Schizosaccharomyces pombe: one gene and its partners. The main gene of each other region encodes a partner of the protein of the gene in region 2 in a complex. Each region holds a gene or a part of one and is shown on either strand. Other genes may lie near its edges. The genes, in order: ssr4, rsc58, ssr3 and ssr2.

Evidence for each region.
Region 1: rsc58 (region 2) and ssr4 share a complex: the UniProt entries of both Schizosaccharomyces pombe proteins name them as parts of the RSC complex.
Region 3: rsc58 (region 2) and ssr3 share a complex: the UniProt entries of both Schizosaccharomyces pombe proteins name them as parts of the RSC complex.
Region 4: rsc58 (region 2) and ssr2 share a complex: the UniProt entries of both Schizosaccharomyces pombe proteins name them as parts of the RSC complex.

The regions. Positions count from the first base shown.
Region 1 is NC_003423.3:2,001,818-2,006,422, forward strand, and holds ssr4 (SWI/SNF and RSC complex subunit Ssr4), read left to right. Parts: upstream 1-1,878; 5' UTR 1,879-1,898; coding exon 1,899-2,057; intron 2,058-2,104; coding exon 2,105-2,248; intron 2,249-2,271; exon of another isoform or gene 2,272-2,397; coding exon 2,398-3,282; 3' UTR 3,283-3,567; coding exon of another isoform or gene 3,568-3,898; 3' UTR 3,899-3,938; coding exon of another isoform or gene 3,939-3,964; 3' UTR 3,965-4,045; downstream 4,046-4,605. Other genes in the region: anaphase-promoting complex cullin family subunit Apc2, read left to right, coding at 1-553, 598-1,217, 1,263-1,452; SPOM_SPBP23A10.17 (uncharacterized protein), read right to left, coding at 3,568-3,898, 3,939-3,964; mtm1 (Mn(2+) ion transporter), read left to right, coding at 4,151-4,605. UniProt on the Schizosaccharomyces pombe protein: Component of the chromatin structure remodeling complex (RSC), which is involved in transcription regulation and nucleosome positioning. Controls particularly membrane and organelle development genes.
Region 2 is NC_003424.3:630,991-634,940, forward strand, and holds rsc58 (RSC complex subunit Rsc58), read right to left. Parts: upstream 2,065-3,950; 5' UTR 1,852-2,064; coding exon 1,509-1,851; intron 1,435-1,508; coding exon 566-1,434; 3' UTR 521-565; downstream 1-520. Other genes in the region: mitotic and meiotic spindle pole body protein, gamma tubulin complex linker-related Spo15, read right to left, coding at 1-313; SPOM_SPAC1F3.08C (uncharacterized protein), read right to left, coding at 2,158-2,484; CwfJ family splicing factor mug161, read left to right, coding at 3,947-3,950. UniProt on the Schizosaccharomyces pombe protein: Component of the chromatin structure remodeling complex (RSC), which is involved in transcription regulation and nucleosome positioning. Controls particularly membrane and organelle development genes.
Region 3 is NC_003424.3:883,989-888,795, reverse strand, and holds ssr3 (SWI/SNF and RSC complex subunit Ssr3), read left to right. Parts: upstream 1-1,543; 5' UTR 1,544-1,623; coding exon 1,624-2,901; 3' UTR 2,902-3,253; downstream 3,254-4,807. Other genes in the region: proteasome regulatory subunit Rpn6, read right to left, coding at 1-769, 815-897, 960-1,135; transcription factor TFIID complex subunit Taf4, read right to left, coding at 3,254-4,351. UniProt on the Schizosaccharomyces pombe protein: Component of the chromatin structure remodeling complex (RSC), which is involved in transcription regulation and nucleosome positioning. Controls particularly membrane and organelle development genes.
Region 4 is NC_003424.3:2,509,455-2,513,364, reverse strand, and holds ssr2 (SWI/SNF and RSC complex subunit Ssr2), read right to left. Parts: upstream 2,285-3,910; 5' UTR 2,115-2,284; coding exon 603-2,114; 3' UTR 519-602; downstream 1-518. Other genes in the region: SPOM_SPAC23H3.11C (glucosidase), read left to right, coding at 1-405. UniProt on the Schizosaccharomyces pombe protein: Component of the chromatin structure remodeling complex (RSC), which is involved in transcription regulation and nucleosome positioning. Controls particularly membrane and organelle development genes.

The DNA of each region.
Region 1 (4,605 bases), on a different chromosome or scaffold from region 2:
TATTGTTCTTCATTACCCCAATTCACTAGGCGCAATTGAAGACTTGCGTTTAGTTGCCCGTCAAAAACAGCAACGTCAATATTTAACCGAAACTTTTGTGAAAGATTGTACAAGTAGTATTTTGACCGCTAGCAGTGATAGCTCCTATATTCTTTTGTTCTATGTCTCTACCATTCGTTGTTTTGTTGCATTAGACCCCCCTGGTGTTCTTTTAGACAAAGCTGCCAAACCCATTCGTTCTTTTCTAAATGAACGAGAAGATGCATATAAATGCTTGGTTTCCTTATTGTTTGTTGACGGTGAAAAAGGCCTACGCTCTGAGCTTTCTCAAATTCCCACTGAAAACATCGACTCAACAACGGATCGATTTGATAATTACCACTGGATGCCGGATCCGATTGATGCGGCTCCTGACTTTAAAAAACCAACCGATAGAGACGTTGTTGGAAGTCTCATTTCCATTTTTAAAAGCAAGGAGCCCTTAGTGAAGGAATTACAATTGTTACTAGCTGATCGACTTTTACAACTTACAGATTATCATTATGAAGTTGAGGTTTGTTTTATTCTATTTAAGTTGAATTTTCTAACGTTTTTTAGGCAAAAAATATAGAGTTTTTAAAGTATCGATTTGGAGAGACTGTTCTGCAAATGTGTAGTGTTATGCTGAACGATATTGAGAATTCAAGATTTATTGATCAGAGCATCCACATGGAGAACTATGTTTCGAAAGGTTTGCACGTAACTATTTTATCAAGATTATTTTGGCCTACTTTGTCTGTTCGATATTTTCATTTACCTGGCCCTCTGAAAAAAGAACTCGATGCATATGCTGAAGAATACAGAGAAAGAAAGAGAAAAAGGGAGCTTGTTTTTTTACCCAACTTAGGATCGGTAGAGTTGGAAATTGAGCTTGAGGATAGAACACTCACGTTGACAGTTACACCGGAGCAAGCTGCCTTTATATCACTTTTTGAAGAGACTTCTACATTACATATTGAGAAAGCTGCTGAACTTTTAGATCAGCCGAAAGAAATAGTTGAGCGACATTTGAAATTTTGGCTTCATCATCGAGTGCTTACCGACATCGGCGACGACCGATATCGTGTTCGTGAAACTGAAGCCGAAACCGCGACAGAAACTGTACTTGATGAAATCCAAGGGGTATCAGCTGTTCAAAGTGAAGCCGAAAGCAGTGCCGCTGAGATGCGTGTTTACTGGTATGTTTCTTTATTAAAACTAAAATTTGTAATTAATAAAAAAAGGTCTTTTGTTGTAGGAATGTTGACGAACCTTGGAGCTCTTGAGCTTGAACGAATTCACAACATGCTCACGATGTTTATCCCACCGCCAAACGGCTATACTCGTACCCAGAGCGAGCTAAGAGAATTTCTAGCATTAATGATCAAAGAGGAAAAGTTGGAGTTTACTGGAGGAGCTTATAAGCTCAAATAATTAATGGCTATAGAATCCTTTGTCTGTTAAGAAAAGCCTTGGGATTTTTATGAACTTTTTTATGGACATCTCATTTAATTTTACGAAAACCATCACTTATACATTGCATGTCTATTGGCATATTGTCTACTAATGATTAGCAGCTAACTGTTACTATTTAAGTATGTCTTTACATTCATGCTCTTGTTTAGCTATTTACGATTCTACGATGGTTAAACGGATCTGATCAAGATAGTTGTAATGAACACAGAGACACTAGAGTATGTTTATACATTACCTAGAGTTTCGTATAGATACTGTAAATATTAGAAATTTCATTTAAACAGTGAAAACTGATGTAACATCGTTATATGAAATAGTGCAACAGAACAAAGCCAAAACTTCTGCATCTTGATAGATATGAGTAAGTTGTACCATCCAAAACTTACATATAATTAAAATCAACAATGGCGGCTACAATGGCAGCTCAGAGTCTATTATCGATTCCAGTGGAATACCGATCTCAGGTATGGTGTCGAGCGAATTTACCATATCCACCAGCACCACAATTACCAATCCCTGCTGTCGTAGATATATTAACAAAAGCGTCCCAGGCTTTACCACAGGTAGTTTTTAGAAGACTTCAATATATGTTTTTTCTAACAAATTTTAGATTTCATTTTCTTGGACTCTCATAGATCAACCACCAGATGGTTCCTTGTTTTTAGTTTGGCAAGCACCTACATTACCATCTCCACCAGATGGAATGCATTTTATGAGCAATGAAAGGTTTTTTAATATGGACGTTGCAGGAAAGGTAAGTTGCTCACAAGCACTGCGGTATAAGGGATCATTAAGCAATTGTCTAGGAACTTGCATATGTGTATCCCCGTTTATTTTAAAATAAATGCTTCAAATAAATTATTATTTTACTGAATTTATAAGTTTACTAATACAATACGATAGGTACTAGAAATTCATGAAGCAAAACACGGTTTTTATCCACTATCTGAAACTCGAACTATGCATGTTAGATGCCGATATCGATTATTAGGAGTTGGTTTTGATAATTTTTGGCTTGTACACTATTTTCAAGGTTCAGAAACTGATAGCATTCCTGCGAATATATCAGTTGCCAAACCACCTCATTTACGACGATACCCTTTACCAGACGTTAAAACTTCTCCATTTTTGCTTCAAGAACCAAAAAAACATATTCCAGAAGGTACAGCTTTATCACAGAGAGAAACCTTGCCAAATATGGGATCTGCTCAGATGAAGTCCCAATCAAGGACTCCATCGTTCTCTAATGTTACTACGTCTCCTGTTCCTCCTATCAATTCTAATGCAACAGCACAGACTGCAGAAGGACACATGGGTGCAACGAATATGACAGTCGATAACATGAACAAGCCATCCATTCCTCCAAATGGCAATACTTCAATTCTAATGCAAGAGGATTTAGAGATTGAAAAGGGTGATGTTATGGATAAACTTTCTCCGCAACAAATTTGTACGGCTCGATTTATCAAACACGCAGAATGGATGAGTCAAGTACTTTTGACACTTCAATCAGTCAAAGACATCGAACCTCCAGCACTATGGCAAGAACCTAATTCAATGGAAGAACTTGGTAAAGAGTTGAAAGATAACAAGGAGCAACTTGTAAAACAAGATCAGAAGTATCAAAGTCTCCAAGGTGATCTTTCCTACACTGATAGCATGTCCAACTTATTAAAAGAATTTTCCAACATCAAGTCGGCAGAAGAATGTGATGTCTTACAAAAAAAAATTGAGGAGTTCGCTGAAGCCAAAATCGTTCCTTTAAGTCACGTTACGGAAAGATCATAGAAGATTTAAAGTGTAGTATAGAAAAAACATGTTGAGGCTAATCAGAAAGAAGATTTGAAAAGTACGTACGTCCTACTTTAAAGCCTTGTCGCTTAATGATAGAATGCCATTGTCATTAGGGTAAACAAACAAGCACTGATATTCCTACATCGAATTTTTTTACCTTGTTTTAGGAGGATTGGGTGAAGGTGACAGAAAAATGAAATATTTTATAATGACAGGTAGATAGTTAAGAGTATGGTTCCGAATAATTTCATACATAGTATAAGGACGATGCGCTTCATATCAAAACTGGAATTTTGTTTGCCGATCTTCAACAAGCTTATTTAGTACTTCCCCTAGAGTCTTTTGTTTTTCCAGTAGTTCCAAGTATTCAACACGCATTGTCTGGAACATAGCCTTCCATTCGCTTTCCTGAATTTCCCAACTACTTTTTTTGACACAGCTTGACTCTAATTCTTCAATCTTTTTTTCTATTTTCTTATAAAGTTGTTTATCAGTTTCTAACGCTTCAGTTGCAGTTAAGAGCTCGTCTTTGTTCTGTTTACTGGTGGAAATCAATGCCTGGACCCCGGCAGCATAGCTCAAACTCGCACCTGCAAGAAACCCTACGATTCTAATAATTAGCAAGTAGTAATAGGCATATCATCACACACCCACTTCGTAGATACGACATCTTCATTCAATTGACTGTTCTAAGTACCATAGCCGTTTCTACCTTATTAAGACAGAACTCTCAGACCAGATATATGATAGTGCATTGCATAACGTTATTTGGTTTAATGAAGTTTAACTACGACTTCGTAGATGAAAGGACGGTGCTTCGTAATGAAGATGACAGGAACACAAACAGAGTCAGAGAGAATACATGCAGATAGGAGCTGCGACAGAAGGCGTAGAAGCTGACTTGTCGGTGAATGCTGAGCCCGATGTGAAGCCTATAGCGAAAATGCTGTCAGCTTGTGTAGGAAGTGTAATTACAACGCTGACTGTAACGCCTTTAGATGTTGTGAAAACCCGCTTGCAGAGTGAATCTATTTCTCAATATTCTTCTACGCAACCCATTTCTTCAGCAAAGATATTGGGGAAGGGAAGGCCAGCTCCAAAGCCTTTAGGAGGCCCGGTATCCGGACTTTATCAGATCGCTCGGCATGAAGGTGTTAGAAGCTTGTGGCGTGGATTAGTTCCTTCATTGACAATGCTCTTGCCAGCAAACACTGTACAGTTTCTTGGGTATGAGCAATTACTTCCCTTATACAGTGATTGGGGCTTTCCTGCTGCTGCTGCAATCGCAGGAGCATCTGCGCGCACAATATCTGCTAC
Region 2 (3,950 bases):
AACGAGGTGTCAAAGGTAATGCTGAAGAAGCAGTTGAGCCTTCAGAAGAGCCTAATTTCGCATCAATTGAAAGGTCACTGTGCCTACGCATTCCCCTTACTTCTTGACGCTTTAACTCCTCTGAGGAATCTTCATGTTGACTTGATGTGTCACCGTCTTCTGCAAGTTGTCCTGTTGAAGCTCTTGAAATATTGGGTCTTGGTGTTTCGAGATCAGAATCAATAAATGGTGATGCAGCAGAGCTCACAAGACTACTCGCTGATTCTTCATCCAAATCAGAAGTATTCGAACCAGAAGACGACTGATTCGACATCTGTCGTTGGTAAATAAACGATTTGGGTTGTTTAGAAATGACAACTCTCTGAAGCAACAAAGCAATAGTGATAAGGTATCGGCATGTTTTATCGGTATTTAGCTTTTGGGTGGTTGAACAAAAAAGTTTCAAAAATACATCAATATATTGAGATATAAATAAGGTAATATATATATATATATGTATGTATATACATCTATTAATTAGTTAAACTAAAATCTTTAAGTAACACCATGGAAATAGAGAACGAATTCATCTACGTGATTTTGTAGTCCGTCGATAAGACTGTAAAGGAACATTTGTAGAGCTTGGACTTAAGGAGCCGTTCATTGATAGGGAATTGCTCCGTAAAGCAGCATTGGACTGGGAGCGTAGCAGTTGCTGTGAAGGAAGCTCCAGCGGTTGTGCACTAAGAGGAAGAGTTCCACGATAAAAGGCGCCATATTGAGTGAGTGAAAGAGTAAAATCGTCCATAAGAAAATCTTCTGGAGACATATCGTAATCTTTTGCTAACTTAAGTATCAAGTTTTGTACTTGCACAGATATTTGGCGCTCCTCATCGGAGAGTACGTTATGAGATGTGATTCTTTGATTTTGAAGCAGTTGAAGATGCTGTAGTAACTTATTCAATTCAACAAGTTCCCCTTGAATAGGTACAGAAGTCCATGAGTCTTCTTCTAATAGACTCAAATTGTTTTGAATGATGTCAATATCGATTGACTTCTCGACAGGTGCCTCTTTGTAATGACTAGATGCCCGATAACAAGCAACAGAATGAAATGAAGAATCAGGAATAACAGAAGAAGATGAATTTTTGTAAGGAGCAATTGAGGAGAAGGGGCCAGACTGTAGGTACTTCACAGTAGGAAGTTTAGCCAATGAAGGATTAAATTCTATAACTGATGCAGGAGGTTTGGCGGTTGAGGGGGGGGATAACTTATCCAAGGTGTACTCTTGGGAATTAGCAACGGATGGAGTTGGCAAAAGGGCAACTGGCTTTGCAATTATTCCTCCATCTGGTAATCGACTGTCTAATCGGGAAGTTCGAGCAGTAGAACTGAACAAAGGACCAGCAGAACCGACCATAAACAAAGCGTGTGACCTGAATTGTGGTTGTAAATCTTGACTAAATTAGTAAAGTCTATAAATAAAAAAAAAATAAAAAGAAAAGAAAAACATTTTCATTTTAACTTACCATTTTCCAATGAAGCGGTTGAATTTTCAGCATCAAAAGTGAAGCCATTTTTTATTTCTTTCCCAACAACTTTACTTTGTTCGAGTGTGGTAATTCGGTTCACCGATGTATATAATTTGTCGACATTCCAATAATCAGCATCTTTTGGAAAGTAGGAATGAATTATATGCACGCATACATTCGTCCAATCTTCTAGAAACTCTGGGTACCTTTGATAAACAGCGGACTTTAAGTTTGCCTCGAGGGTTTGCTTGTTTGTGGTAGCAGTGCAATTCAATACTAGATTGCCCGCAGGTGCAGAAGAGATATAGGAAAGAATTAAGGAGCAACTTTCAGCATTCATTGCCGAGTTTGTTTTACGAATTGCTATCAAAAAAGGCCGGATAACGGTAATGCGTTTCAAATACTCAAAATATGCCCAGATCGATAAAAACCAAAAAATTTCTTTTTTGAAACCATGCAAATTGTAATGTCTTAGTTTTTTCGGGCAACCTAGGTACTTTGCGCGGAACAATCTATTATGTTCTCTTCACTTTGCACCTTTGACTACCTTGTTGATGTGAGCTATGCTAGCACCGAAGTTTTAGTACGTTGGCGATGGAAGCACACTCGATGTTGGCGATATAACGAATGATATCTGCGAAATTCCCTAGGCCTCGCTAGAGATCATTATTCGGTAAACAAAAGAATGGAGTGGGTTTTCATGAAATGGACGGATTCTTTTAATCGGAAAGAAATGGGGTGATAGGCATATTAGAAGATAATAATAATAATAAATAATAAAAAGTTCATATTTTAGTAATATGTTTTTGTAATCGTAGCAGATCCGATCATAGAAAAATGGTATACTGTAAATGTTAGGTGCATTTGATACCAAGCTAACAGTATCATACATGTAGCAACACCTCATTAAGTATAAGAAATCATTTGTTTCGAGTAACCCTTTCAATTCTAACCAGTTGCAGTAGATTACCATGTTCTGAATATCCTAGTAATAGCCTCAGCAACTAGAAAGTGATAACGCACGTTTAATGCTGCGTTTGTAATGTTTAATGTATTACTATGCAATATGTTATGCAACTTGCTGAATAAGTTCTATATAGAGTACATAAAGTGAATAATAGATCAAGCGAAACTTCAAGCCTATCTTAGCGAGGAATGCTTAAAACTGAACTATTAGATACTGCAGTACGCAATAGCAATTTGTTTATGATAATTCAGAGAAATTTCTGTACTGTATATATATACACACATACTTGATAAATGAATCATTATAGATGTCTCAAATAAAATTATTTTTATGCGTCTATATTACACTATTTATAGACGACTAAACAAGTTGAGCATCACAATTGCTCAGAGTTCGGCGATTGGTAGAAACAAAGCATGAACAGAGAACAAAGATTGTTTTTTTTTGTGTTTTTGCTCTTGTTTTCCCCCATATCAAAATATCTTCTAGCAGAAAAGACGATGGAGAATTGATGAAATTAAATATTTTGACACACTGAACCATGGCTTTAAGTTAACAGCAGTACCTGCGTATACTTAGCTCGCTAAAGAAGCAGAAATGCTCTTGAAAACAAAGTCTAGCATTGTTTTTATATAAAGAAGTTAACAAATTTCAACTCGCAATCTCTCCACATTCCATAGCCCAGCACTTGCTAAAAGACAATTTTTTCTAAACAACAACGAAAACATTATCGGGTTACGGCAAAGACTAAAAAAAGGATGCCAATTTTCTCAAATTATTTTTTTTGAAGGGTTCTGCTAGATCAAGAGCATACAACAGAGGTGGATTAAAACAGTTTACCAAACACCACAGTGAAAGCAATACACATATGTTTGAAGCGTAGTGCTCAGTAATTCATATGAAGTATAATTTTAATTCAGACTATGTTTGTCATAAGATCAGCGATATAAATAGAAGAAGTGATAAAAATGTCTATATGAAGAAACCATAATCGTCAATAAATCAAGTATTGAAAAAAGAAATCGACGTTCTCACACAATTTACATGCAAAAATCAATACTTGAAAAAATGTCAACATTCTACGCTAAGCGTTTACTTAAGAAAATTTGCAACTCATAATAGCTCATTAAATAAAGGAAAGGAACTGCTTTTGTTGTAGTGAGAATGTCACTTTGGTTCCAAATACATCATGGATTGTTGTCATTCATTATGAAATCCCCACTGACATATGTAACTGATTAGATGAAAATCTCACATTTGTTTTGTCTTGCGATTTACCACCATCTTCTAAGACACTCCTTTCTTTGAAGCAGCGTGGTTTCAGCAAACGAAGGCTTCAACTAAACCCTTGTTTGCTTACTTTTTTATCGTTTACGTTTGGTTGTGGAGGTTACTATCAGGCTACACCAAGGTACTCTTGACTTGAGCAGAATTAAATATATACGCCAACCGCCGAGATTTTCTAAATATGA
Region 3 (4,807 bases), 250 kb from region 2:
ACACGACTAAATGGTTCGACAACACGAAGTAAGTTTTGCTCAAGCAAGTTATCATAGAGACTACTTAAATGAGATCTGATGATTGGATCGGAAGCCAGTTCAGGTTTATAGTCTTGCAAAGCCTTTTCAAAATCAGCCAGGGATCGATTTTCATGAGCCTGAGCAATCGCACGCATAGCTTCAATATCTCTACCAGCGTACCGAATTGCGTGCTTTCCTGTTAATAAAGATTTGACTTCGGAAACAGAATTAAGCATAATTTGAGATAACAACATGTATTTTAAAGATGAAAGGGCTTTTTTATCATCATCAAGCGACGTGAATCCCTCATAAGCCTCATAAAAGTATGAATAAGCAGTCTTGAAATCCATATCGTCAGCATGTAAAATACCACTTTGCAAATCTAAGTTCCCCTGAAGCATCGGAGGGCAATAAACAGCATTAGCAGAAGTTTTAGCAGCTGTTAATGAAGCACGAGCTTTTGGTATATTTCTAATTGCGTGATAAACTTTCGATTCCAACAAATGAACTTCGGTCAAAAGCATTTTGTCGTCCATTCGTTTGAGCTCTGACAAAAGAGTATTAATGAGATTGATGGCATCAGTGTAAGATGAGTTGTCATAATATAAGGAAATTAATTTCGTCTCTAAAGCTTGACGCAAAAATGTACGCTTTTCTTTAATAGCCCATTTGATACAATCGTTAGCAACTTCGATTTGTAAAGGCAAAGACTTCTTTTCGCCAGAGAATTTATCAATTAATGTTCGGACTAAAATGGTGTTAGGTTGTTAACACAATAGACATTGATACTTACCAATTTTAGCAGACTTGGCTTTCGAGAAGTTAGCCATCAGCGGACGACTTTGTTGAACCAACTGAGCCAAATCATTATGGCGACTAGAGAAATAAATGTTAGTTATCTTGAGGCATAACTGTTCCTTTATTTAGAATTTACATACTTTTCACGAACGTATAAATCGCTCAAGTTAGTGAGAGCTTGTTCCTGTTCATTCGCAACTTTTTCGTCTTTACTAACTCCTTTATTAAGAACTTCTTTATACAAATCAATCGCCTTTTCGATATCGTTGCTTTTTACTGCATTGTTTGCTAATTCAAGGCTAGATTTGCTAGACATGATGATGATGGTTATTTCAAAGTGCTTCCAGCATGGAATTATGCGAGAGATGAAGCTACTGCTGGATGGGTAACATTGTAACTTTATATTACAGCAAGTTAGTCAGGTGTGTATATGTATGTGTTTATACTCAAAGTAAAGTTAATAACTAATTATTATAGAAATGATTGTTTTTTTTTTAGTGAAAAATACGTTGATAAACTTGTTAGCGTCGTGAATGAGTGATCAGCAAAGCATCTTATGGTTTCGATATACTAACTGCTTTTATATCGACAACGCTCGAAAATCGAGATACAATTGAATAATTCATATACAAAAGAAATGATATGTAATTCCTAGTATTTCAGTTAACGGTGCTCAGCTGTTGGAAGCAGATAGATACTAAATGGTATTTGGGTCCACCACTTCACGTCCACCAAATATCGAAGATTATTGATCGGTTCGGATTGCCGCATATTTGAGAGGAGCTTGAATAAGGACAGCTTATCATGTCTAATAATAGCCGTTTACCAGAGAATGGTGTACAAAGCGGTAACGGAGAAGACGCAGAGTTGAAGAAGAGTATGAGAATTATTGAAAGAGAAATTCCAGACTCATTGCTTGAAAAAATCCCAGAAGCAGAAGATTATATTGCTCTTCAAGATTTAGAAAGAAAATTGGATTCATTAATCGTTCGGAAACGATTTGATTTACAGGATTCCTTAAGTCGAAACTCTCACAAAACCAGGATTCTTCGTATGTACATACATTCCACTGTTGCGAATCAATCATGGCAACAAAAGGGAGAAAATCAAGAGAATAATTCTGGCGACATTAACTCCCTTCCCATACCTGAATGGACTCTCCATATTGAAGGTAGACTACTCGTTAATCCTGACGACGAAGACGATAAAGCTTTTGAATTAGCACCTTTCACCAACTTTTTCCGTAAAATTGCTATCCAAATTTTACGATCAGATGATCTCTATCCTAGTGGTAATTATGTTGAATGGAATAAACTTCCGGATAACTCTAATACATCTAACGGCATTACCGTTACGAGAAAAGGCGACCAATCCGTAGATGTCAAAATTATGTTATACCCTGAAGAGCATCCTGAACGATATAAACTTTCAAAAGCCTTTGCTAATATACTGGGTATTCGTGAGGGCACTCGTCCTGACATCGTTAGCTACCTTTGGCAATACATCAAGTTCCATCGCTTGCAAGACATGGAGGAGAAAAGATTAATTAACTGTGATAAGGCATTAAGGGATTTATTTGAAGCAGATCGTCTTTACTTCCCTAGAATTCCTGAGCTTATGAATAGATTTCTCGAACCTATTGATCCCATTGTTATACCGTATACCATTAATGTCAGTGAACATACTGTTGAAAAAGTTACAATTTTTGATATCCGTATCAACACGGAAGATCCTAGGCACAGCCAAATTCGCTCTTTCCTTGCTACGATGATGTCGCAAGATAAAATCAGAAGTATTGACGATAAGCTTACCGAGTTAATTCAAGCTATCACTTACTCACAGTCGAAGTATGATTTCATGAAGAAATTTTCGGAGAGTCCAATTGAATTTATTAACGAATGGATTGAATCCCAGAGCCGAGATTTAGAAATCGTTTTGGATGGCACAAATATGAATTATGCAGAAAAAAGAAGTGCTGATTATTATCAACAACCCTGGGTACATGAGAGTGCATTTCATTATCTTAATTTACTAAATAGCAAAAAGCAGCAAAGCGTTTTAAATGCTTCTGCTAAGAAGTGATAGACTATTACTACGTTACCAGTAGAAAGCAACGGTATATTCCTGCGTGTGTCACAAACGTGTATATTATTTACAAATTAAAAAAAAATTACATATAACCAGAATAAAAAAAAGAGCTTATTCTTCGTTTCATTTAAGAAAAATACATCATAGGAAATCCAAAATTGATTTCGATAGAACAAAACATTGTATTCCGCCTGACTTGACCTAATGCAATTATCGTGTTTAAAAAGTCATCGGTTGTCCTGAACAATAATCCACTCAAATAGGAGGAAGGGGTTTTATAAATGAATCCCCGAGATAAATAAATGAGTTAGTCATAACTTTTTAAGGCCATATTAAATTCATAAGTTTAATCTTTTAGCCTAATGTAAGCACGCATCATTGCCTTAGCACCCCTACCAAAAATACGCCCAGCACCTTCTCTATCCATTTCAAGAACCGCTAATGCGTCCCTAATAGTAATTATACCTTTTTCTTCTTGTTGTAAGGGCAAAACACCATCACGGGAGGAGGGCTTAAGAGAATTAGAATCCTTTTTCCGAATACCAAATCCACCTCCAACTGCAGGAGTCATTGGAGTCATATCAGTTGCCATCCACGAGTACTTTTTACCACCGGATGGTAGTGCACTACCAGCCATGATGCTTGCAGTAGCGTTAGTCATTCTGTTTTGCGCATCTTCAGATATATTTTTTGCTGCAGCGGAAGAGCTTTGTTCTTTTCTACGTCGACTCGATCCTTCTTCATTAGTGGAAGCCGAATTAAGTTCAGCCAAACGAGCTTCATGCTCTGCTCTACGAATATTCAATACTGTACGTCTTCTCTCCTCACTTTCGTACTCCTTATAAGCAAAATTGGCAAGAGTCTGGCGCACGTTGTCAACTTGTTTGTAATTATCAGTATGCAACTGTGAAGTCCGGTGATGGCTTTCAACAATCATTTTTTGCAACAAATTTGCCAGATAATCACGGACTGCCATAGATATTAGAGCATGAATATCAGAATCCATGCTTTTTAAACGATGTAAGTTTACAATGTTGCTAACTGTTTGCATCAACACAAAAGAATTTAAGAAGTCTGACTTTCTTGAACGGTCTTCGGTAGTAAGCGCGAATGTATTTAGAGATGAAGGGTCATAAAAGGAAGTAGACAAATTCAATTCCTCTTCTTTTAATTGAATACCACATGAAATAAGAGCATCCTGAAGCTGATCTGCCTCTTGCCTGTCGCCGCCGCTTGCCACTCCAACGCTTGATGATACATTATTTGGTCGTGGAGATGCATAATGTAATTTTCCAGGCCCTGAATTAGGATTTTGGGTATAAGAAGGTTTTCGATTACCTAAATAACCTGGAATTTCTGGATACTCTTCATTTTTGGGGCGTTTGTTAGCAGGAATATCATCGTCATCTCCAAAGCGTTTTGAAGGAGGATTATTTAAATCCATGAAAGAATACTACTACAATAACTATGCTTAATATTGTATTAAAAATGTTGGTAGTTATCAATACGTTCTTTACTAGCAAGTTTAGGAACTTAAGATTAAACCCTTACCTTTCCCTATTACCGATTTATAACGAATACACTGTATTTTTTATTGGGCAAGGTAACGAGAGGCTCTTTAAGAGGCTTATATCGATCTTTATTTTCAAGATCGCTTTCGAGCTTGTAGCAGATAAACTTATACCCAACCTCTATTGTAATTCCAAGATTTCCATAAGCATAAATAGTACACTGATTCAATTGTGCGTGTAAACACTTGTTAAAAGAAATCAGTTCTTAATAGACTTGTCCATTGAAGTCTGATTAAAGGTTCAGGATAATCTTAACTATCGTCGGACAAAGTCTTCAAAACATCTTCAAATGTTTTTACATTTGTAAGAATATTGTTAGTGAAACATTC
Region 4 (3,910 bases), 1.9 Mb from region 2:
TACAAGCCTGGTGAAGGTACTAATGGGTATGTATCTTGGTTTGTCGGTCCAAACTATACTTGGTCGATGCTTGGCAGCGCCGTCGGTCAAAATGGAAATGTCGGACCTCGTCAAATTAGTGAGGAGCCAATGTCTATTATTTTCAACCTTGGAATATCAAACAATTGGGCTTATTATTACTTCCGGGATCTTTCATTTCCTGCAGTGATGTACATAGATTACATTCGTATCTATCAAGACCCTGATGACACCAACTCACATATCGGATGTGATCCCCCCGGCTATCCTACTACCAAGTATATTGAAGAACATCCGTTAGCATACAAAAATCCAAATGCTACAACTTGGGAAATGGCTGGTTATACATGGCCTAAGAATTCTTTAATGCATAAATGTAACACTTAATTGCCATTATGATCATATTTTATATGAATTATCTATATATTTAAGATGCATTTCAGTTATATAACAATTAGAATTTAATGTTCATTTTTTTTTCTTTTTCAAAAAAAAAATTTAGATTACATATATATATGTCTATAAAAACTAGATAGCCAAAAGAACTTCATGCAGAATACAAATTTGAATTTGGTGAACCTAACTTATAAAGCAATTGTACGAAATTTATCGGGATATTGCTTACTTAAAGGAGAAACGGTTGTTGCCGTAGGCATCTCAAATGTCAATAATGCTTCTGCATGTTCTGTACTCATTAAATCGTCAATTATTTTCAAACCATCTTCACCGCCCAAATTAACAGCTTCTTCCAATTTCTTGTTAAACGCAAGAAGCATTTTTTTAGTAGACAAACGACTTAGTAGTAAGTTTTTTCCACGAAGATCGAGTTCAGATAATTCTAAAGAACACATCTTTTCGAGTTGTTCAAGCACCTTCATTTTAAGCTGTAACTTCTCAAGCTGAGCCTGGATTAACGAAAAAACCAAGCGTCGAAGCTGGCGATTTTCAAACGCTGCAATCAATTTTGCTTTTTGAGCAGCAGATTTTAAAGCATAATAAGCAACCCTCTCTAGTGGGTTTTTAAACTCGGAATTCCCAAAGGAGGTTTCTCCTTGTTTCACTGATTCATTTTGCTTGCGCTCTTTCATGCCTTGTTGAACAATGGAAGCCAAATATGTTAAAGTACTTAAAACTGGATTTTCATTTTCATCAAAGGGCAAAAATCCCTTTTTAAATGGGGAAAAGTCACCCTGAAGTTTCTGTCGATAGGGATCCTCTATAGGAATCTGGAGGAAATGAATCAAGCATTGCTCTTTAGTTCGTGATCCAACATGTAAAGCTATTTGATTCCAGTCGTCTCCATAAGTTTCAATAGCTTCTAATAAAAGCAAAGTTTCTTGGTTAGACCATGGTTTTTCCTCGTCGTGATTGAAATCAATCGCATCCATGCACAAAAAATCAGAGGAATTAAAGGAAGAAGAAAACCTCCCTTGTTTATAACAGTTTGGACAGATGTCATATTTTTTGTTTTTTAAGTTGTGATACCAAGTTTGAGAGCAATTAACACCGCAAGTGAAACAAACTTTATCGACTCGAGGGACTTTGTCGCTTTTTTCATCTTCTTCTTTGGGAGAGGTTTGTTCCATTGCATTTAAACTAGGGCTGTAATGCTTTTCTTCTAATTTAACAAATTCTTGGCTCGAAGATCCACCGACGGTACTAGGAGGAGGGTGTTGAGCTAACATTTCTTGCGTGACGATTGGAGTATTACTAATAGCTTGAACATGTCCTGAAATAGGAGGAAGTCGGAATGCAGGTCGCGTTTCAGGATCGATTTGATAGTTAATTAAGCCCCACTGTTCGAGAAATGCATGCACGCGAATTATAGCACAAACATCACCAACAAGATTTCGACGACATGCAGTAACTGTCAGGTATTCATTTGGTTCTAAACGATATGAATTAATCATAAAATCTCTATAGTCCTTGTATATAGAAGGAGTTTTGAGAGGAGATTTTCCATTAAAAAATTCGGGATTCGACCTTCGCTCAATATCGTGTATTTTCGACATGTCAAACCATCCTGCATAAGAAGGAACAATGATGGGATAAGTTTGTTCCACCAGAAAGGGTATGCGAACTTGATCGAGAGTCATCGTGAAGGTCTGATTTTTGAATAGTCCACTCACGAAAAAAATGTAATACCCACAAAATTAAGTTGTTTTTAAGTTGTAACACACTTGAAAAGTTAAGAAAGAGGCCTTAATAATAAAAATTATAAATACAAGAGAAATAGCACAATTGCCATTTAATAAATTAGAGCACTAGTTGTTGACAAGTCGTCCGGCTATACTCATTTACAAGTTACGGTGCATTTTGATAAACGTGTTTTAAGAAACAATAGCTTAACTACATATTAAGGCCATTTCGCTATATTTAATTCGACACGCTAATTATCACTATGTTTTTTCCTAATAAAAAGTTACGTTAGTTAATGGATACAACAAAAGAATTTGTAGTAATTGAATGAATATAAGGTGGGTCTATGGGTACGAATGGTAAATTGACGATCTTATATTATAAGCCAGAGAACATTTGAGACTGTTACACGCATATATCGAGGGCTATCCTTCTTAGAATATCACTCTACTTTATTCGGATAACTCAAGTTTTCAAGTCAAAAGAAAGCATCTAGAAAATGATTGTTCTTAGTTACATACTTTTGTCGAAAAGCTGAAACTGTCACAAATCTTCTGATTTTTTGTGAAAAAATCTAATTTCTATAAGAAAAAAACAAGGGACCAACCGGATTTGAACCAGTGACCTGGGGATCTGCAATCCCTCACTCTAACCACTGAGCTATGACCCCTTGCGACAATTGCAAGGCAAAAAATGAATTATAAGATCTTTTTACGATTTTATTAAGTTGAGCAATTAGAAATCAAAGTTTCCGCTAAGGCTCGAAAGAGAATCTTGCCAAGCTTTGAATATATTTATAAAGGTTGCTTTAAATAGCGCGAACGCAACTATCTGAACAATTTTTAACGGAAACCGCTTCAGCAGTAAGAAGAAAATATTTCTATTTTAGCATTCAAAATGCAGTTACTAAGTATGATTGATTTCAAGGCTTATTATAAACCGGCATTTTACAATGTACTTAGTAATTTATGGAGATGAGAACTCCTTAAAATATAGCTTCGTGATCCTTCAAATCCTATCCAACTCAATTTACTTGAAAAATTTGAAATTTCCGGCGCTCGTTAATTATCAAACTGAAAAACCAGCTAAAAGAATGCGGGCATTATTCACCGAATAGCCTCAAAGTATCTAACGATATCGATAAGTTATCTACAGGTGCAAAACTTCCACTGTTATAATTGTAACTTTTTCAAGCGGGCTTCGGTTAACAGAATTTTATAAACATGTACAAATTGCTCATTTCCTAAGCAATCCAGAATTTTGCCTTCACCGACAAATTACTGATGAGGATCACGGCGAAATGGCAAACTTGAAAAATGTAAATTGCATCTTGCTTCGAAAGCTATTTCACGCTAAATTAATAATTTTATAGTAAAAGAATAAACAATGCTGATCTCAAAATTTGTATACATTTGATAAAAAGGCATAATTTTGTTGGGTTCGATGCTTAGTAATAAAATTATAGTTCGAGAATATATGGTTACTATATGGCTAGAGAAAAATGATATTTTTTGATTATTTTGCGATTATATGTGTTGCCAAATTATAAAGCCTGCTATATCCTGGCGGATCTAATTTCTTACTCCGGGCGCTCACAACATTTTGGCAGTTTATTCCGTTATCCATTAAAGTGGTAAATTTTTTGGAATGGTTTGAAAGTTAACCTTAACCATCTCCCAGTTGTGGCACCAACACCAACAATTTGGTATTTTTGTATAATTATCAATTTATAAGTTTTATTTATAATTGATAT